3 linked regions of the Caenorhabditis elegans genome follow. The protein of the gene in region 2 purifies or fractionates together with the protein of the main gene of each other region. This does not show direct contact. Each region holds a gene or a part of one and is shown on either strand. Other genes may lie near its edges.

Region 1 (6,552 bases), on a different chromosome or scaffold from region 2:
GTAAACTTTGAAAAGTTGATTAAAAATTAATAAATTGAGCATAAATTTTTAAAAAAAATGAGCATAAATTTTGAAAATCTCAAAAAATTGCTATTTTTTCCGAGAAAATGCATTTTTGACCGAAATTTTGGTACTTTTTTTGCAAAAAATATCAATTCTTTCGTTGAAAATAATTTATTCGAAAATTTGAATGAAAATTAAACTTTTTCACTAAAAAAAACTATATTTTTTGAATTTCGTAAATTTTTTAAAAAAATCGATTTTATTATTTTTTACTAACCAACTAATTTTTCCAACAAAAAAAATTTAATTTTCGATTTTTTCTGTAAAATTCCCAAAAATAATTGATTTTTTTTGAGAAAAATTTCAAAAATTCGGATTTTTATTCGAAAAATTAAAAAAAAAAGTTTTATTCAGAGCTTCGAATGAAATTTCTGAAATTTGTATTCCAGTTACCTCAACAAATTTTTAAAAATTTATATTTTTAATTTTTTGGCAATTTTTCAAAACTTTTTAAAACTCAAAAATATCCAAATTTTCAGTCGGAAAAAAATTGAAAATTTTATTTTTTTTTTGGAAATTTTTGAATTTTTATTCAGAATAAAGTCATAAATTCCCCCGAAATTTGAAAGTGAAAAAAATCAAAAAAAAAAAAATTAGATTTCGAATTTAAGAAATAAAAAAATTTCACTGAAAAACTATGGTTTTTGAAATAAATAAAGCACTATTTCTGAACAAGTTTTGAAAATTCAAAAAAAAATCGATTTTTACTAGCCAACTAATTTTTCCAAAAAAAAAATCTAATTTTTGATTTTTTTTTCTTTGAAATTCCCAAAAAAAAGTCAATTTTAAGTTTTATCCGGAAATTATATTTTTAATTTGTTTTTCTTCAAATTTGCAAAACTTTTTGAAACTCAAAAAATTGAAAATTGTTTTTTTTTTTGGAAACTTTTTAAAAAATTTTTATTCAGAATAAATTAAATTCTCCCGAAATTTAGTGAAAAAAAACTGTAGATTTCGAATTTAAATTAAATTTTAAAAAAATCGGTAGAATTCGAAAAAAAACAAATGTTTCCGATTTTTTCCAAAAAAAAATCTAATATTTGATTTTTTTTTTTGAAATTCCCAAAAAAGTCAATTTTAAGTTTTTGAGAAAAAATTGAAAAAAAATTTTATTCGGAAATTATATTTTTAATTTTTTTTTGGCAATTTTTCGAAACTTTTTGAAACACAAAAATAGCCAAGATTTCAGTCGGAAAAAATTGAAAAATGAAATTTTTTTTGGAAACTTTTTTAAATTTTAATTTAGAATCAATTAAATTCCCCCAAAATTTAGTGAAAAAATCACCAAAAAAACTATCAATTCCAAATTTTCAGTCGGAATTCTACCAAGTTTCACACACAAAGGCCGAATACATGGAGAGAGGACCATCGATTTGTCGTTACAATCCAGTTTTCGGAGCTCTTACTTAATTTTTTTTCTCCATTTTTTTGTATTTTTTCCCTATATATTTTCTCCAATTTTAATCCCTTCTCCACGTTTTTTTCTCTCTAATTCCCGAAATTTTTGAACACACATTTCACTTTTTTTCATCTTATTCTGGGCGATTCGTGTATGTACTTATTATTTTTATTTCCAAAAATTACCAATTTTTTAAAACCTTTTGAACGAAAAAATTCTCGAAGAAATTTGATTCCTGCGCCCCCAATTTTTTTTCTTAAATTGTGTTTTTTTGCATGACTATTGCTTTAATTTATTCCCCCGTTATATATAAATTCCCTTATTTTTGTAGTCTTTTTGGAGAAAAATTCCGCTCGATTTGAAAAAGTAGAACTCTTTTGTGATATTTTTGAATTTAAAAAAAAACTAGAAAAATTTCAGACGCTGATTTTCAGATGGATCTTCCAATTGTCTACTACGATGAGACGGAATGGGCGAAGACGCATACGGGAAATAAAGTGAATAAGAAGCATGCAATTGCTGGAACACAGAATATTTTAATTGCTGGAAAAGTGAGAATTTTTGGAAATTTTTAGAAAAAATTCAGTGTTTTCCAAGTATTTTGAAAAAAAAAAGAAATTAAAAAAATAGCGCAATATAATTTTTCTAGATTTTTGGAATAAGCTATACAAATTTTTTGGCAAATTCGGCAATTTGCCGGAATTTAAAATTTCTGGCATATTTGCCAAACCGGCAATTTGGAAAAAATTTAAATTTTCGGCAAATCGGCAAATTGGCAATTTACCAAAACTTAAAATTACCAACAGTTTGGCGAAAATTAAAATTTCTTGAAAATTCGGTAAACCGGCTGAAGATGAAAATTCCGGCAAATCAGTAATTTTCCGAAAATGAAAATTTCCGGCAAATCGGCAAGTGGGCCGGAATTGAGCATTTTAGGAATATTCGGCAAACCGGCAAATATGCCAAATATTCAAACTTCCGGCACACTGGCAATTTGCCAAAAATTAAAATTTCCGTAAATTTGCGAGAAAAAAAAATTTCCGGCAATTTTCCAAAAATTAAAATTTCCGACAGACCGGCAATTTTCCGAAAATGAAAATTTCCGGCAAACTTGACAAACCGGCAATTTGCCGGAATTTAAAAATTCCGGCAAATAGGCAATTTGACAAAAATTACAATTTTCGGCAAATCGGCAATTTTCCAAAAATGAAAGTATTCGGCAAACCGGCAATTTTCGAAAAATTGAAATTTTCCGGCAAATAAGCAATTTGTCAAAAATTGAAATTTTCGGCAAACGACAAACCGGCAATTTGTAAAAATTTAAAATTTCCGGCAAACCGGCAATTTCCCAAAAATTCTAATTTTTGGCAAATTCGGTAAACTGTCAAGTTGCCAAAATCTAAAATTTCCGGCAAATTCGGCAAACCGGCAATTTTGGTACACCGGCAATCTGCCAAAAATAAATAGCCGCCCACCCCTGATTTGAAACATCAAAAAAAGTGAAATTTTGCAGACAATAATCGAGGAAGGAGTGACAATTCGCGGTGATCTGGCGACAGTTAAAATTGGAAAATATTGTGTTCTAAAGTCTCGATGTAACATCCGTCCATGCATGAAAATATTCAGCAAAAAACCAACAATGTGCAACGTTATGATTGGTGATTATGTATTTATTGAAGAAGAATGTGTCGTCAATGCCGCTCAAATCTACGCATTTGTACATCTTGGAGCTCGTGCGGTGCTCGGAAATGGTTGTGTGATTCGAGAATGTTCGAGGGTTCTTCCGGATACTGTAGTTCCAGCGGACGCACTTTTTCCACCGTACTCAACGATCGGCGGGAATCCTGGTCAGTATGCCGTCGAAAAAGCGAAAATTTGAAATTTTCCTAATTTTTTTGAGAGCCGGAAAATCGAAAAACTGGAAAAAAAACGTTTTTAAAAGCACAAAAATTGCCTGTGATGATTGAAAAATTGGAATTTTGACGGAAAATCGAAAATTCCTAATTTTTCGAACTTTTTAAGTAGGAAAAATCGAAAAAACTGGAAAAATTGAGAAATTTCTTTCAAAAAACATTTTTAAAAAAACTGAAATTATTGAAAAATTGGAATTTTGGCGAAAAATCGAAAATTATCGATTTTTCTTATTTTTCTTATTTTTCTGAGCTCCCTAATTTTCAAAAAATGGTAGAATCGCTGTGTACTCCCCGAGGAGAAGTTTTAATTTTATTCTACAGTAAATTTTCAGTTTTTGACTCGATTTTTTTCATTTTTGGACCATTTTAGGCTTTTCAGTTTAAAAAAGGAAAATTAGAAAAAATTTAATGAAGATTCAATTTTTATTTTAAAAAAACACATTTCTTTGAAAAAAAATGGCCGGATATTATCGAAAATTTGAATTTTTTACCAAAAAATCTGAAATTTTTTTTTGGATTTTCTAGAAAATAAAACTTTCAGAAAAAAATGCAGATTTATCAGAAAGAATTTCTCAAAAATTTGAAAAAAATTTCCGAAAAATCGTACTAATCGAAAATTTAAAGTTTTTTTTTTAATTTTTAGAAAAAATTAAAATTTTCAATAATCTCCGGTAGTTTCTTAATTTTTTTTGGAAATAAATGTTCTTTAAATTTCTCGATTTTCAAAAAAAAAATTTTTTTTCCAAAATCGATCATTTTTGCTGAAAACTGATTTTTAAAATTTTGAAAAAAAAAACCTCCTCGAGGACTACACCGGCAGTTCTTCCATTCTCCAAGAAATTTTTGAGCCGCGAAAAGAAAATGAAATTTCCGGCGAATTCGGCAATTTTCCAAAAATTGCCGGAATTTTTCCAAAACAAAATCAACTCTTTTTCAGCTCAAGTGGTCGGCACTGAACCCCGTTGCACCGAGAACCTGATGATGGAGGCCATAACGATGTACTATGATAATTTCGTACCGAAACAACGAGCTATCGCATAATTTTATTGTAAATAAAACGGGATGATTTCAATAAATAATTCTTAACATTGGAGGGGCGAGCATGATCAACAATGAACAATATAAAGTGGCAACAATTTGATGGACATTTCCAAAACTTTGTTCATTAGCAGAATGTAGTTGTCGGTGGACTCCTGGAAATTTAATTTTAATTTTTTGAAAGGATTTTAATTTAAAATACTCAAAAACTAGTCCCAAATGCCAAAAAAGAAAAAAAAACGAAAAAATTCGGATTTTTTACGCCTAATTTGAATTCTCGCGCTTTTGTCTCTAAGTTCCGCCTATAAAAACCGTGCCGCACTCTGGTTTTTTCAATTTCGACACAGATTCCTGTTTTTTTTTTCTAATTTTCAATAATTGTTTAACATTGCTGACCGTATTCTTAATTGAAAATTAGAAAAAAAAACAGTGCGGCACGGTTTTATGGGCGGAGTTTAGAGACAAAAGCGCGGCGATTCAAGTAAAAAATTCAGGTAAATCGAGAAGTTTTCAATTTCTCGGAATAAACTCACATCAACACAAACTGTCACATAATACTCAAAAAATTGGAAAAAGCAAAAAACGGCACGAATGATATGCTGATTGGTGAATCTTTTGTGTAGCTCTTCGCGTATTTTACGGAAATATTGCATGCGAAGGTGGTTTTCAGTGAACTTTTTGACATCAATCATTATCCAATCGGCTTTATTTGGATCGTCGAACATTTTTCCGTACAGGTGGTCTAGATTTTGTTGGTTCTCGAGTTCAGCGAACATTTTCTGAAAAAAAAGAAACTGTATTTTATACGAAATTGTGTCATTTTTAGGGCCAAAAATTCCAAACCAATCAGCGAAGGTGGGCGGAGCCAGGCGCTGATTGGTTTGAAGTTCCTCTCCGATTTTTAATTTTTTTTTCCAAAAAAAAAACGAGAAGTTCCGTTTTAAGTGTTTGCTTAAAGCCAAAAACCGGAAAAAAATGTTTTTCTTTTCTAATTTTCACAAAATCAAAGAAAATTAGTGTTTCTCTTATTATCCAGACGCGAAATTTCGCACCAAAAATACGGTAGCCGGTCTCGACACGAAAATTTTTGTCGAACACAAAAGGGTTTGCGCCTTTAAAGAGTACTGTATTTTCAAACTACTCTTTTCTGAGGAGTTTTCATAGCTTTTCGATTAAAAAAACACACGACTTTGAGAAAAACTGAAAAATTGGTGGAAAATTCCACAGCTACAATAGTTCGAAATTACAGTATTCTTTAAAGGCGCACAACCGTAAAAATTGATTGAAAAAAAAATTGTCGTGTCGAGACCGGGCACCGTATACGACCGTACTTCACATTTAAAGGTACATGCATCTTATCTTTGCTGTACCTTATTGAAATCATTATTTTCAACAGTCTGTCGGATCAAATCGTTAATTGCTTGAGCTGCTTGGCCGGCTATTTTTCGCATTTCCGTCTTCCAATTGTGTGATCTGAAAATATTTCCTCAATTTATTTATTTCCTGCTGCAGAAAAAATGAGAGAAAAAAAAGTTTTTTTTTAATTTAAAAAAAAATCGATGTTTGTTGGTTTTTCGGAGCAAAAACTAGTTTTTTTGGCAAAAAATTCGATTTTTTGTGACATCTGTGGAGTATTCACCTCTGTGGAGGCTCTTCTTGTGGAGGCTCTGGCTCCACAATTGTCGAAGCACAAGAACTTTCGAACACATCACGGGATAACTCATCATTTCTTTCGATCCGTTGAGTTCTTGCTCCAGGACTTTTTGTTTTGCCCAATTGTGCTGCGCTGGTCGTCGGAGCCGTCGGAGCCGCTTGAAGCTCCAAGCTTGCGACCTTTTGCACCTCAATTTCAGAATTTTTCTCCACCGGGCGGCTTGCAACTACTTGCACGATTTTCACGGTTTTTACTGCCAAATTTCGAATGCTAAAAACATTTTTTTTAATTATTTCATGTTTTCTGAAATTAATAATTACTATTTTCGAGTCTCAGCACCGAGTCTTGACCCAAAACGTCTCTCAAGTGAAATTAAATCCGAAGATTTCAAATGTCGAGAGTAATAATCGATATTCGGGACAATTTGACGTCGCATTCTGTAATTAATTCCATATTTTTAATCGATTTTTTCTAAAAATTCGCAC
Region 2 (9,168 bases):
ATTGCTTTTCAGTGTTCTTAATCAGTTCCTTGAAATCATAACAAGTGGCGTAAGAATTGTGCTCTTGAAAATTTCAAATTTTGCTACAATTGTTGAAATTATGTTGAACAATATATAAGGTTCAAATTCGGTCTTTTGGTGCATTTTCTGAATTTTTAAAATAAATTTCCGAACAACATAGCATACTTTTTTGGAATTTTCTGGTATATTTGATCATGCTGAACAGTTTTATGAAAGAAAAAATAATCGCTCCATATGATTTTGCCGTACTTTTGAATTTTTGAAAATAACTGCTTTTGGTGCATTTTCTGAATTTTTTAAAACATTGAAGCTAGCATACTTTTTTTGGTATTTTCTGGTACATTTGAAAATGCTAAACAGTTTTATGAAAGAAAAAAGAATTCTCAATTCATGAAAAAACACTGGGAAATTGAAGTTCTAGCAGTGGTTTTGTTATTAAGTTGCATAGGAAATTGGCTAAATATTCGGATTAGCAGCGAAATTGAATTTCCAGAAAGGTTATAAGAGTTTTTAATTAAATTCATTTCCCAAAGACCAAACGCCCAGAATTTGCCGATCTCATACCCATGATCTCATAAAAAGGGGGCTATAAAGGGCTTTTGATTACACAATCTTGCGCGGAAAATCTGCCTATTGACGTGCGTGCCGAATATAAACTAACAAGCAGTGTTGCTATTTATCACGTACTGGCATTATCATCCAAATCCCTTCTGAATATTATAATCCGATATTCTCTCTGGTTACTGCAGATTAACAAATGACTAATTGTATACTTTCATCCTAAAATAAATGCTTTCTGCCTCCGAATTAAACGAAAAGTAGTCTGAAGGTCTTGGAAAAAAGGTTTCCCGTTAAAATTCCCAAGCTTTAGACCCAAAAAATCGAGCTCTCCACCTAGAAAAACGTATTACCTGCCTCGGGGAGTCGAACCCCAGACCTATTACTCCATAGACAAGGCGCTTACCGCCCGCGCCACGTTACACTCACGCGCCAATGCTACCCCTGCACGCGAGCGACCGGTGGCACAGGCGGTAAGCGGCTCGACTATGGTGAAAAAGGTCAGGGGTTCGGCCCCTTGGAACTGTTTTTGGGTTTTTCTAGGCGGAGAGCTCGAATTTTTCAGTAAAAAAACGCGCAAAATTATTGTTTAAACTAGTTTTCAACCAAATTTTTTGAGTTTTGTTTTAAAAACAAAGAAAAGAAAAACAACTTCAGTTAACAATAAAACCTTTTTATTGCCCATATTCATTAAAAAAGATGGAAGTTAACGAATTAAAAAGGGGTGCGGTCGCCAGCATGATGGAAGCCCAGCGCACCACGTAACCCCACAATAGAGTTGCCAATTGGTTCCTGTTATTGCGACAAGTTCCCTGAAAACGGACAGATTTCGGTAATAACCAAAACAAAAACGACTTACTCAGGACAAATGAGTCTGGAAATCCAATTGGGTTCCATTGTAGGGAATGCTCTCCTCGAAAATTGCTCTCGTTCAACTTATGAAAAAAGGAGAGAAGGGCTCTCAGCGTCCCTTCCCTCCCCGTCCTCGACTCGCTACCTTCTTACTCTGAGCCAACAAGAATAAAATGAAGAAAAACGGAGTTTTCGGCAAGTTTTATACAAATCCCGAGGCTCCCCTCTCTTTGCTAATCTCCAGTGGGCGTGAGTTTTCTTCGATGCAGCCGAAAGTGTAGATAATCTCAGATTGAAAGCTTTATCCCTGGAACTTTGAATGTTTGATCTTGTTTTTTTGGGTTTAGAACTAATTTTCCAAGTTTTAGACCTAAAAATTCGAGCTCTCCACCTAGAAAAACCTATTACCTGCCTCGGGAAGTCGAAACCCAGACCTTTTGCTCCATAGGCAAGGCGCTTGCGCCACTTTGCTTACTGCGCCACTTTGCACTCAGGCTGCTGCGCTGCTGCGTGGCGGTCGGCAAGCAAGCTACCGGTGGCGCAGGCGGTAAGCGGTTTGACTATGAAGAAAAAGGTAAGGGGTTCGACCCCCGAAACTGTATTTAGGTTTTTCTAGGCGGAGAGCTCAAATTTTTAGGTGAAAAACTTGAAAAACCGACGAGGAAACTAATTTAGGACAACATTTTTCGAATTCTATGGTAAAATAGTCAAATTTATTAAAAATTAATGACATTTTAAAACATTGATAACATTTTGAATATCCGTACTGCTGAAATCATTCGAAACCGCGACATTTTTGACTCCAGCCGGGATTCCTGGCATTTGGGACCCTGAAACTACCGTAATCACCTGCAACTCAACTACAGTAACCCATACCATTCAAGGATATTACGACGACTTCATCGAACTTTGGGAATGGCTGGAAAAGTGACGGAATTCCGGAAAAATCGCGGCGAGCCGTCAAAAATACCAACGTAGTGTAGCCGATGTTGTTCATCGATGGGACCCACCGAAACTTTTGAGCACCGGTTATTGCGCTAAAATTTGAGTTTTAAAGTTTTTCTAGTTTTTGAGATGTTTTAGCTAAATTATAGATTAAAAGTTGCAAAAATATCATAGCTATCTGTGAAAATTAATTTCAAATAAAATCGAAAAAGTTGATGTGAAACGAATTAATTACCCTATTTTTCAAGTTTTAACTAAAAAATAATAAGAAAACCTAAATACAGTTTCGGGGGGTCGAACCCCCGACCTTTTTCACTATAGTCTGGCCGCTTACCGCCTGCGCCACACCGGTAGCCTGCGTGACTGAGCAGGAGTGCAAAGTGGCACAGGCGGTAAGAGCCTTGCCTAAGGAGTAATAGGTCTGGGGTTCGACTTCCCGAGGCGGGTAATAGGTTTTTCTAGGTGGAGAGCTCGAATTTTTGGGTCTAAAACTCGGAAAATATATCGGGAAAGCTCGTAAAAAAGGAATTGGGAGCTGTTGCAGCTCAATTAAAACTCTCCAAGCTCTTTTTTATTTATTTTTTAGGCCAAAAAAAATCTGAAAAAAGCTCACTCGGTAATATTATAGTCATGGTCAGTCTTTCCCTGGTCCCAAACGTTGGACTCAAGGAGATTGTCAAATTGGTAGTGGCTCCATGCTGGGCTCGTGTCAAATTGTTGCTCATATTGGGCTGAAAATGAAAATTTCAGACAAAAATTTGGGAAAAAATTTTTTGAAAAAAAAATTTTTTTTTTGGAAATTTTTTTTGAAGTTTTTTTTCAATATTTTTCAAAACTCACTGAATCCATAAAAAGCTGGTGACATATAATACAGACAGGTATTTCCATCACTGGTCGGGTTTGCAAACAGGTAATCCGTCACCGCTCGGATAAATTCCCGCTCCTGCAATTTCAAAAAAAAAATCGATTAAAAGTGGGCGGAGCCTAACCTTATTGTAAAAGCTCAAAGCATTTGGGTCGACATTTGGATCACCAACAGACTCGGCATCAGCCATGAATTTTATCATATTTTCCTGATTTCTCACAGGCTTCTGAGTTGTCTTGGGGGCTGAAAAATTGTGATTTTTTTGGCTTTTAGTTTTCGTGGCGAGACCCTTGAAAATTTTTAATGTAAACATTTCATTTTAACTTCACTAAATTCAGCTCACCGAGAGCTTTCAAAAAAGTATAATCATGACTAGGCTCCGCCCACTTTTAGGGACTTTGAAATTTTCGAAAAAATATTGCGAAATATTTGTAAATATTAGATTTTCAGTGAAAGTTTTAACAATTTCTTTTTGAAATTATCAAATTAAAATTGTTTGTGTCAAGACCTTTCAAAAAAGTATAATTATGACTAGGCTCCGCCCATTTTGAGCGATTTCGCAATAATTTTTGGGTCCCGCCACGAAAACTGCTGGGGGTACTTTGTTTCTTAAAAATTTGCTAGAAATGTTAAAATTTAGGTAAAAATCAATAAGTTATCTTGCTACCACTAAAAAAATTTAAAGAAAATCTCTAAAATTAAGAAAGTTATGAATTTTCGAAAATTTCAAAAATTTCGTTAAAATTTTTTAAAAAGTATTTTTCGAAAATTCGTAACTTTTTAAATTTTAGCGATTTTAAATTGATTTTTTTTACAAACTGCTACCAACTTTTCAGATTTTACTGGAAAAACTAATAACCCCATTTTTTTTTGAAAATACAGTGCCCAATGAGTTTTCGTGGCGGGACCCGAAAAATTTAGAAATTCGCCCAAAATGGTGGAAACCTAGGCATTATGGTGTTTATTTTAAAGCTAATAACGAGCTGAATATGATACAATAAACTACAAACCAAAAAAATCTTGAAAAATCTGAAAATGTTAGAGTTTTAGAAAAAAAAAACCCACTATTCGGAGGATTTGTCGGTGCTCCGAGAGCCGGTCCATAGCAAAAGAACGGATAAGGCTTAGTGCAGTCCTGGGCTTGCCAACGGGCATCTGCAGCACGCATGGCTCCGCAATAGCCGGCAGTTGAGCCTGGATTTTTTTTTCGGAAATATTTTTTTCCTAAAATTTCACCAACTTGAAGCCCAGTTCATAAATACCAAATCCAAGCCATCAATCCATTCCCACGAGCCATCGGCCGTCATATCGGTGAGCCCGATCCAAAAGTAGTTGGCCCAAACGTTCGAGTTGCTAGAGAGGTCTGAAATATTTTTTTCCTAGATTTTTACATTTTTCTTTCCAAATTTTTAAGTCTAAAACTTACTGTACAAGAAATTATTGTCAATCATACTTGGTACAGAGGCCAGGTGGTAGCCACCATAGTCATAGCAAGCTTTTTCAGCGTCATGGAACGATGCGGCGCCCGTATGGACCACGTAGCAGCTGAAAATTTTAAAATCAATGGAAAACAACATTAAAATTCGGATTCAGCGGAAAGTTTGGGTCTAAAATCCTTTTAGTTCAGGCTTCTAGCTCAATTTTGAAATTTCGAGGGGTACTGTAGCTTCAGAAGTCCCCAAACACCGAGTACAGTACCCCCTATACACCGAATCTTACGACATTGGCTCCAATCAGGCTGAAAATTATGAACTAGAGTAACTTTAAGGTGCTGAGTCCAAACTTTAACATGAAAATTTTCAGAAACTAACCTTGATTTGGAAAATCTATCAATTTCTTTGAAAATGTATGAAAATATAAAAATTTTCGTGTTCAAAAGCAATTAACACAAAAATACTGTTTAAATTCGTATTCAGCGCAAAATTTGGGTTCAAAATCATTTTAGTTTGGGCTGCTAGCTCAATTTTGAAATTTCAAGGGGTACTGTAGGTTCAAAAATACGCAAACACCGACTACAGTACCCCCCATACACCGGATCTTACGACATTGGCTCCAAACGAGCTGAAAATTAATATGTAAGCTATATCAAAGGTGGCGAACTCGAATTTGTTAAAATTTTGACGCTAAAATTTTTTCCCAAAAAAAAAATTTTTTTTTGAAATTTTTTTTTTTGAAAATTCTGAAAATTATATTTTTTAAGTTTAAACTGTTTCAATATAATGTTCCGGGCGAGTTTTTGGTGCTGAGGTCAAATTTTTAAATCAAAATCGTCTATAATCCCATTCAAACTCACAATTTCCCACTGGGATCCAACTTTTCCTCCCCATGACACGTGGCAGCCGAGCCAACAGACACAGAGATAAGAAACAATAGAGAAGCAGAGAAAATGTGCTCCCGGAGCATATTTGCAAACCAAAATGATCAGAATCACTGATAAGACGTCAAGTTTTATAGGAGTTTAGTCGGGGTGGGGTGTCAAAGTATCACTGCCGTTTTCAAAGCGGAAATTTATATTGATAAGGTGAAGAGTTTTAGACTATAGATACTAAAAATATCTTGAACATTTAAATTTTGATTTTTTGACTTCTTGACTTTTTGAACTAAAAAAAAATTCGAAAATTTTTTTTCGAAATTTTTCGAAAATCGATAACTCTGCCAGATTTCAAGATTTTCGGCTTTTCTCAAAATTTAGATAAAATGTTCATTCATGCTAATAAAATATTAAAAACCAAATTCCCTGCAAAACTACCGTACCCCAAGAGTTTTCGTGGAGGGACCCAAAATTATTGCTAAATCGCTTAAAATGGGCGGAGCCTAGGCATGATTATACTTTTTCAAAAGCCAACGGCGAGCTTTAATTGAAATTCGCAAGTTCCTACCAAAAATAAGAAAAATTTGGAAAAAATATTTTTCACAAATTTTTGAAAAAATCGATTTTTTCGAAAATCGATAACTCTGCTAATTTTCAAGATTTTGAGCTCATTTTTTTTCTCAAAAATTAGATAAAATATTCAGTTTTGCCTTGAAAATACCAAAAAAAAAAACAAATTCCTTTCGAAACTACAGTAAGCCAAGAGTTTTCTTGGTGGGACCCAAATTATTGCGAAATCGCTAAAAATGGGCGGAGCCTAGGCATGATTATACTTTTCTGAAAGCTCACGGCGAGTTCAATTTGAAAATTAAGTTGAATTTTAGCTAAAATTCAAAAATATTTATTAAATATAGGAAAAACTGTCATAAAAGTTCATCAGTGTCGTCATTGAGACTGGAGGTGTCGAAACTCGTATGGGCTTGTTTTTGAAGCGGCGATTTTTTGCTGAAATATAATATTTTAAGCATGTTATTAAACTTTAGCTTTAACAAAAACATTTTGAAAAATTTCTGGAAAAAATTCAAAAAGCCCACCTCAACGCATGTAACCGGGTAACATCGAGATGTGTAGTATCGATTGATTTGGATTTTGAAAGACGTGAAGCTTTCACTTTCAGATTGCTCCAGCTCAACTTGGAGCTGCTCGGCATGAATGATGGTTTTCTAAAAAGTGTTAATTTTCAAAAAAAAAAAAAATTTTTTGAAAAATATTTTTTTCTCGAAAAAGTTGAAATATTTCCGAGCTTGAGATTTTTACTCTGAATTACTAGAAAAATTAAATTCAGCTCATCGAGAGCTTTGAAATGACCCCTAACACGTCTAGGCTCCACCCACTTTTGGGTTGTCGCGGTGGGACCCAAAATGGGCGGAGTTTTTAGCTGTACGAGTTTTCAGCGTTATAGCTTCAAAATTTGCAAAAATTGGAATTTTCATCTGCCTAATTGTAAGTTTATTGTAGATTATTGATTTTAAATTTTAAAAAATCAAATTTTTTGTTGGTTTTTGAAAATTTTCGAAAATTCATAACTTTGTTAATTTTCAAGATTTTAGGCCAATTTTTAAGCAGAATTAAGAAAAACTATTGATTTTTACGAAACAATTGAATCACTTGTGAATTTTCCGAAACTACAGTAGCCCATCAGTTTTCGTGGTGGGACCCAAACTATTGCGAAATCGCTCAAAATGGGCGGAGCCTAGTCATGATTATACTTTTCTGAAAGCTCTCGGCGAGCCAAAATTGGATTTTTTTACAAAAATTGTTAAAACAAAAATTTCAGAATTCAAAAATATTTTTAAAATATTTCAAAATTTTTTTAAAACCATTTTTTTCGAAAATCTGTAACTTTTTCAATTTTGGAGATTTTTACTAATTTTTACTTTTAAAATGTACACAATTCAGTAAACGACGCAATAAAAGTATTTTATCCGTTTTTCCTCCCAAAACTACAGTACCCCAGAAATTTTCGTGGCGGGACCCGAATTTATTGCGAAATCGCTCAAAATGGGCGGAGCCTAGTCATGATTACACTTTTCTGAAAGCTCTCGGCAAGCTAAATTCAAATACAGCAAAATTTTAAAGTTTAAACAAAAATTAGAACCCACAGCCGCCCGTTTGACTGAATCGAGGAGATGCTCATATTCCGCTGACCGGCCTTGAACATCTGTGGCACCGGGAATTCTTTCAGTAAAAGCGCCGAATTTTTCAAACGACGCTCTGCCATGGCGGTCTTTTTCTTGTTTCGTGCTGAAAATTAGAAAAAAAAAAAAAAAAAACTCAAAACAAATCGAAAAACTAACTAAAAATTCGAATTCAGCACAAAAAATTGGTCTATTCCGATTTTAGTACAGGTTTCTAGCTCAATTTTCAAATTTTCCGGGGTACTGTAGCTCCAAAAGTACGCAAACAACGACTACAGTCCCCCAAAACACCGGGTCTCACGCAAAATTGCAGAAAAGCTCTGAAAGCCTGTTTCTAAGGGTGAAATATGACGAGAAATTTGAATTTATGGTCAAAATTTAGTTTAGAATCAGTTTTATTTTTTTTTATTATTTTACTTGAAAACTCAATTTTTTGCACTAAAAAACTAAATTTTTTTAAAATTCACTACGAAATTTGGATTCAGCGCAAAATTTCGGTCTAAAGTTGTTTTAGTTTGAGCCTCTAGCTAAATTTTCAACTTTCCCGGGGTACTGTAGCTCCAAAAGTACGCAAACACCGACTACAGCTCCCCAAAACACCGGATCTCACGCAAAATTGCAGAAAAACTTGAAAAACTCGTTTCTAGGGGTAAAATGTGACGCCGAATTCGAATTTTTTACTTAAAAAACTCAAAAACCACTAGTTTCTCCAAAAAATCACTGCAAACCATTCCCAAAAACTTCACAGTTACGGAATTTCACAGAAAATAAATTCAACAAAAAATCAATAATCAAATTACAATGAAATTGTGCTCCGCTGTAGCGATTTTTCGCACAGTTCTCTGGAAATATTAGTACGATGCACCGAAATTCCGGTATTTTTTTTTCTGAAAATTTTGAAATTTCTTACCCGGTAGTTGTTTTCGCGGTCGTTGACGGATCGCAAGATTTTTTGATTCTGCAAAAAAAAAACTGTGTGTAGATTTACGGGTCCTGTGTAGATTTAAGGAACTCTCTGTGTAGATTTACGGGGTTAAGTGTGTAGATTTACAGGACTATGTCTGTAGATTCACAGGATTTTGTGTAGATTTACGGGACTAAGTGTGCAGATTTACGGAGCTCTCTGTGTAGATTTACGGGACCGAGTGTGTAGATTTACGGGGCTATTTGTGTAGATTTACGGGGCTCTCTATGTAGATTTACGAGGCCAAGTGTGTAGATTTACGAAACTCTCTATGTAGATTTACGGTGCTCCTACCTACCCGCATGCTTTTCTGCTTGCTCGGCTGCTGTAGTTTTGTGCAATTGCACAGCTTTTTGGTCAAATAGTGTAGGCCTGAAAAAGTGGGCAGAGCTTGACAAAAAATGGGCGGGGCTTACAGTAATATATTGATTTTGGTGATGGGACAATGTTAAAA
Region 3 (5,491 bases), on a different chromosome or scaffold from region 2:
AAAAGCTGGCAAAATTTCAAATTTTGGACTTTTTCGGAATTTTTGTCATAAAAATTTTTAGAATTTTTTTTGAGAAGTCTCATCATGAATTCGGTAGTTTCTAACCAGTTTTTACTATAGAAAACACAACCTCTACTCCCAAAAACTGTGAATTCCGTTTCAGAAGCCTCCTAGGTGCGTTACATATTTTAAAGCATAACCGAAAATATATCGACATTAAAGTAATTGCTTAGCAGGTGGTTCTCATCTACAAAAAATCACGAGTTATTACTTTTGAGTCTAGCCTTCAGAATGCAATTAAGAATCGAAACCGAAAATCACTTAATAGTTCTCAAATGTTTCAGATTATGGAAAAGTACAAGCCCTTCCAACTGGACACACCACTCTTCGTCTGGAATTCATTTTTAGCCATTTTCTCAATTCTCGGGTTCCTCCGAATGACACCTGAATTTGTATGGAGTTGGTCAGCAGAAGGAAACTCATTCAAATATTCAATTTGTCATTCATCTTATGCTCAAGGAGTCACTGGTTTCTGGACTGAACAATTCGCAATGAGCAAACTTTTCGAGCTCATCGACACAATCTTCATCGTTCTTCGTAAACGTCCACTCATCTTCCTTCACTGGTATCATCATGTAACTGTTATGATCTACACATGGCACGCGTACAAGGATCACACTGCATCAGGACGGTGGTTCATTTGGATGAATTATGGAGTTCATGCTCTTATGTATTCCTACTATGCTCTTCGTTCTCTGAAATTCCGTCTTCCAAAACAAATGGCAATGGTTGTTACTACTCTCCAACTTGCTCAAATGGTTATGGGAGTAATCATCGGAGTCACTGTCTACCGTATCAAGTCATCGGGTGAATACTGCCAACAGACATGGGACAATTTGGGATTATGCTTTGGAGTTTATTTCACATATTTCCTTCTTTTCGCCAACTTCTTCTACCATGCATATGTTAAGAAAAACAACCGTTATACCGAAGTTAAGAAAGATAAGAAGGAAAAGGAAGAGGTGAGCATCTTTTAGGTACAGTAAATTATGAAAATAATTCAAAAAATTTCCCCGATCTCGTTTTAATTTACCTGAGAAAAAAGGTTTCAAGAAAATCGAAAAATCGGCAATGTTCAGAAAATAATTATAAAATTCAATTTTCATCAAATTTTGTTAATGTTGATGGAAAAAAACATAAGAAAACATATGAACTTATTCTTCCAAGAAGAAAAATGACCACAATTTTAACTTTTCTATTTGGAAAAAATCGAATTTTTTCGAAATATCAGAAAAATCGAAAAAACATTTCGATTGTTAGATTTCAGTAAAAAATGGAAAACCCGTTACCCTTGCTGGGAAACTTGGAAAATTCTGACTTATGAGCATATTTTTAAAAAATCTTTGGAAAAAAATAATTCGTTTTTCAGCCTGTTGATTTCGAAATTCTGGAGCCAAAAGAAGATATCAATGCTAACATCGCTGAGCCATCCATCACAACGAGGTCCGCCGCCGCACGAAGAAAAGTTCAAAAAGCTGATTAGAAAATATCAGATTGTTATTTGTTCTCTATTACCGGTACAGAGAGTGTAGATAGTTAGAGAGTGACAGACATCCGGGACCTAATGGGGCGGGGCGCGCGGAAGAGACGATTTGTGTCGATTTACGAAATAATGACAACGAGGAAAATTTCGTAAATCGACACAAATCGTCTCTTCCGCGCGCCCCGCCCCATTGGGTCCCGGATGTCTGTCACTCTCTAACTATCTACACTCTCTGTACCGGTAATATTATTTTTCGTTTCTTGAAATTTCTCTTTTACTTTTTATCAAACCTTTACGCTTTCCCTTATTTATATTCGGCTAATCATCAGAGGCCACGCAAAACTAACACATACTCAGATCTCTCACCCTTCGTCCCCCCAACCAACCCCAAGTTTTCGTTAGCTTATGCTCTTTCTTTTTTGCTCCGTTTTTTTTCTGTAATTGCCGCAACAAATTGAAACTCGTGTGAAATAGATTAGTAGTCTTTTTGTTTCCACATTTTTTCCATCGTTTTCTGTATTTCTCTTGCCAACACAAAAGAAAGAATTAATTTTAATCGTTATTCTTTCTCAGATAAAATTCTAGACACTTTTTAGAATGCTAATCTGACAATTTATGCGTTCGGCTTCTTCTCTCTCATTGGACCCTTGAATGGCTCGGCAAGAAAATCGGCCACCTGTGGAAGGCGATCCGATCCGAAAACTGTTTGAAGTACTTTTCCGTGACCATCAGTGATATGCATCCACGGAGCTCCGAAACACTGAAAAAAATTAATTTTAATTCCCAATTGAGAATATTATAAAACAGCAAAAAAACATTTTAAAACGACGCGCAAGCGCGCTCCGGGGCCAACTGAAAATGCTCCGCCCCTAAACCATGGGTCTCGTTAGGAATTTTGCGTTCGTCGTCTATTTTGTTATATTTTTCGTAGTTTTTGATGTTTTTTCGGTTGAAATAGATGAAATAAAATTATTATGATAAGTGAAAACGCCCTAAATTCACATAATTTTCTTAGACATCATTTCGATGTTGAAATCATTAAACACTTCGAAAAATATAACAGAAAGACTAATTCTAGAAAATTGTCGAGCCTAATCAAAAACGTTCAAGTTTAACGGAAAATACCTAACGAGACCCATCGTTAGGGGGCGGACCGTTTTAAATTGGTTGTGGAGCGTGTTTTCTCGTCGATTCCGTGTTTTTCTGGGTTCCTATAATAAATGACCTACTCCATTCCCGATGGCTTCATCTGTGTTTTCTCTTAAAATGTTCTTAACTTCTGCCGAATCACTCATCATCACCAACTCATCGACATCTTTTACATGCAAATCTCTCAAAACTTCGGCAACTTGACTTTTTGTGAAAATTGGTTTTCCGTATGCATAAAATCGATGCCAGAGTCCACGAGCAACGTCTTCCATCAAAACATTATCACGGAGTTGTGAAGCGACAAGAATACGTTGTGGAACGATTGAACTTGTGTTCAACATCATATTTGTGTAGTCCTTGGGAAGACGGAACGGAATTCCCCAATATTGGGCAGAGAAGAGCAAATCTTTGTGCATGTACTTTTCTTTGATAGGAATACGGAGTGGGAGACCGGGGTTTTCTGAAAACTTGCAGTTATATGATTTAGAAGGTACATATCAAACAACTTTCTGATGATTAGCACGATTCGAAAAAAATTTTCAAAACAATTATGTTATTTATCAATGCTCCTATACTTATAAAATTACCAAATATCACTTTTCCAAATGTCTCGAAATTGCTTTCAAATAGTCCTTTTAGGGACATTTGGCAACTTATCAAAACGTTCACTGATCATTTTGAAAAATCCTGAAATTTTTGGATTGTCTTATTATGTTAATATATGTCATGTTCAACTATTATAATGTTGAACTATTGTTGAACTATTTAAGTGTATTTATCTATTCTAGTGCCCTTCGTCAGATTAAAGCAGATTTTAAGAAGTAGAAGTAGCCGACCTTATGATATAAATAGATAGAGGTGCATTTTTTAGAAAATAATAACATACAGGCTTCTTAAGGTTTTGCATGTCCTTTTCCAGAAGTAAATTGAAAGCTTTTATTTTGACATTTCAAACGGAATTGTTAGAGGGTCATGGTTTAAAAACCTTACTTTAAAAAAGCTAATTCCATTTTTTTACGGATATTAGAGAAATTTCAAGACAAAAATACAAAAACTCACCAGTATGTCTGACAACACCAGCAAAAAAGAATGGTTTCATCTGAATTGGAGTCTTCCAAACGGAACGATGACGAGTGATTCCTTCGAATCCAAAGTAACTGTACGGAGAAATGACATCGAAGAAGAATTTGACCACTTTTCGGTTCGGCATTTTGAAACTTGAAGTCTGCAAAATTCATGAAAATTCAGCAATTATTTTAAAATTTTTCGACAAAAAAGCGAAAAAAAAACAGAAGCTTATGATTTTTCTAAACCTTAATGAGCTCCAGTACTAAAACAACTTGAACTACTTCGGGACGCTTTTAAGATTTCTGAAAATTCTTATTTTGTAGAAAAGTTTTTTTTAAAATAATTAGGCACGAAAAAAAAAAACAGCCGAATCACGTTGGCCAGACAATAATGATAGAGTTGAGAAGAAAGAAAAGATATTTGTGTAAACATCAAGGGAGGTACCAATGAGTTGATAGGAGCACAGACACGTGGTAGAGCAATTGGAGCATCAGCGGACAAAAAACAGAAAAAAAACAGTTGGTCTCAAGTCTAGTGAACAAAGTGTAGAATTGTTTGCAAATGACCACGATAAAAATAGATTTTGTTTGGAAAAAAACTTGGGTACTCTAAATATTTGATTTCTATTTTTCCTAACCGCACGTGATAACCAGATGTGCGATTTTTGAGCATTTAGTTGTTTTGGATAAAAGATATGAAAATATACAATGAACAATATTTTCAGGAAAGAAGTTTGGTTAAATGCTTTATGACTATTCCAAATACGCACAAAAATACCTGCCATTTCTTAATTGAACTTTTAACAAAACAATTTAAATGATAAAGGGAGATAAACGTAAATTTATCATGTGTGTACACCACCCAGCTCATTTTATGTTAGAATGTAGAATCGAGGGGCTAAGAAGGCACGCAGGCAGGCAGGTATATGACATACACGAACAAATGAGAAAAAATAAAATTGTAGCCAGTGTAAAAATGATCCGATCTTTTCACCGTTCAATAAAAACATAAAGGGCTGAAATAGAAACGGATGAAAACAACATTTTGTGTTTTTGAAATTCAGTTCTTAGAAGGAGATCACGTGACTCGAGGTGAGTGAAAAGAAATAAAGTGCAAACGGGTGAAAAAGAGGGAACAGAATTGTGTTGTTTGTTGGAGGTTAAATATGTACTTTGGGTTGTGGAATTGGGATTTCATAAAGTTCACGTTTCGGAGAAAAAAAAAAGAAAATGAAATAGAAAATAATCCGATTGGAATAATTTGTTCCGAAAATGTTCCGGCTTTTGGAAAAAACAACTGGAATATATTGTTTTTAAATTTAATTGGAAAACTTTTACATTTTATGATAAGTTTTCCAATTAAACTATATCTGAAAAGTTTAAAAAACAATAATGATGTGAAAACTAACAGTTCAGATCTAGAACTCATTTTTGTTTTCTTCTTATCGAATTCTCTGCCTTCCACTCGCAAATGTTTGCCACATTCTTGACTTTTGGTTCATAAAGAGTGCAAATTGTTTCAAAGTTTGAAGAAATAAATATTTTTAGTATCATTTATTTGGGTTTTGCATTAAGTTGATCTTACTGGCCCAACAAGGAAATTCAATTTAAAAAAATTGGCTATGAAATTTGAATCAACAATTGAGAAGTCCAAAAATAAGCAAAAATAAATAAGCAAAATTAAGTAAAAAAAAGTAAAAAAAAGGAATTTGTCATCGCGGTGATTCAAATT

Evidence for each region. Proteins that work in one complex are often made in the same cells at the same time.
Region 1: the proteins of clec-150 (region 2) and dnc-5 fractionate together in Caenorhabditis elegans (co-fractionation; one large-scale study listed by BioGRID). This does not show direct contact.
Region 3: the proteins of clec-150 (region 2) and gstk-2 fractionate together in Caenorhabditis elegans (co-fractionation; one large-scale study listed by BioGRID). This does not show direct contact.

Annotation. Positions count from the first base shown.
Region 1 is NC_003279.8:2,878,785-2,885,336, reverse strand, and holds dnc-5 (Dynactin subunit 5), read left to right. Parts: upstream 1-1,882; 5' UTR 1,883-1,896; coding exon 1,897-2,013; intron 2,014-2,975; coding exon 2,976-3,309; intron 3,310-4,312; coding exon 4,313-4,416; 3' UTR 4,417-4,461; downstream 4,462-6,552. Other genes in the region: arx-1 (Actin-related protein 3), read left to right, coding at 1,378-1,473; Y71F9AL.8 (Myb_DNA-bind_3 domain-containing protein), read right to left, coding at 4,482-4,568, 4,947-5,192, 5,784-5,886, 6,053-6,337, 6,388-6,504.
Region 2 is NC_003281.10:999,203-1,008,370, reverse strand, and holds clec-150 (C-type lectin domain-containing protein), read right to left. Parts: upstream 5,665-9,168; 5' UTR 5,645-5,664; coding exon 5,535-5,644; intron 5,259-5,534; exon of another isoform or gene 5,196-5,258; intron 4,787-5,195; coding exon 4,668-4,786; intron 4,605-4,667; coding exon 4,482-4,604; intron 4,436-4,481; coding exon 4,307-4,435; intron 3,485-4,306; coding exon 3,366-3,484; intron 3,320-3,365; coding exon 3,217-3,319; intron 3,108-3,216; coding exon 2,990-3,107; intron 2,469-2,989; coding exon 2,308-2,468; intron 2,262-2,307; coding exon 2,155-2,261; 3' UTR 2,073-2,154; downstream 1-2,072. Other genes in the region: R06B10.7 (uncharacterized protein), read left to right, coding at 6,974-7,078; trp-2 (Transient receptor ion channel domain-containing protein), read right to left, coding at 6,476-6,557, 6,647-6,775, 7,715-7,856, 8,551-8,592, 8,661-8,708, 9,009-9,086, 9,131-9,168.
Region 3 is NC_003282.8:7,238,354-7,243,844, forward strand, and holds gstk-2 (Glutathione s-transferase kappa 2), read right to left. Parts: upstream 3,918-5,491; 5' UTR 3,903-3,917; coding exon 3,752-3,902; intron 3,153-3,751; coding exon 2,773-3,152; intron 2,304-2,772; coding exon 2,157-2,303; 3' UTR 2,092-2,156; downstream 1-2,091. Other genes in the region: elo-3 (Putative fatty acid elongase 3), read left to right, coding at 345-1,022, 1,430-1,543. UniProt on the Caenorhabditis elegans protein: Has roles in respiratory and lipid metabolism.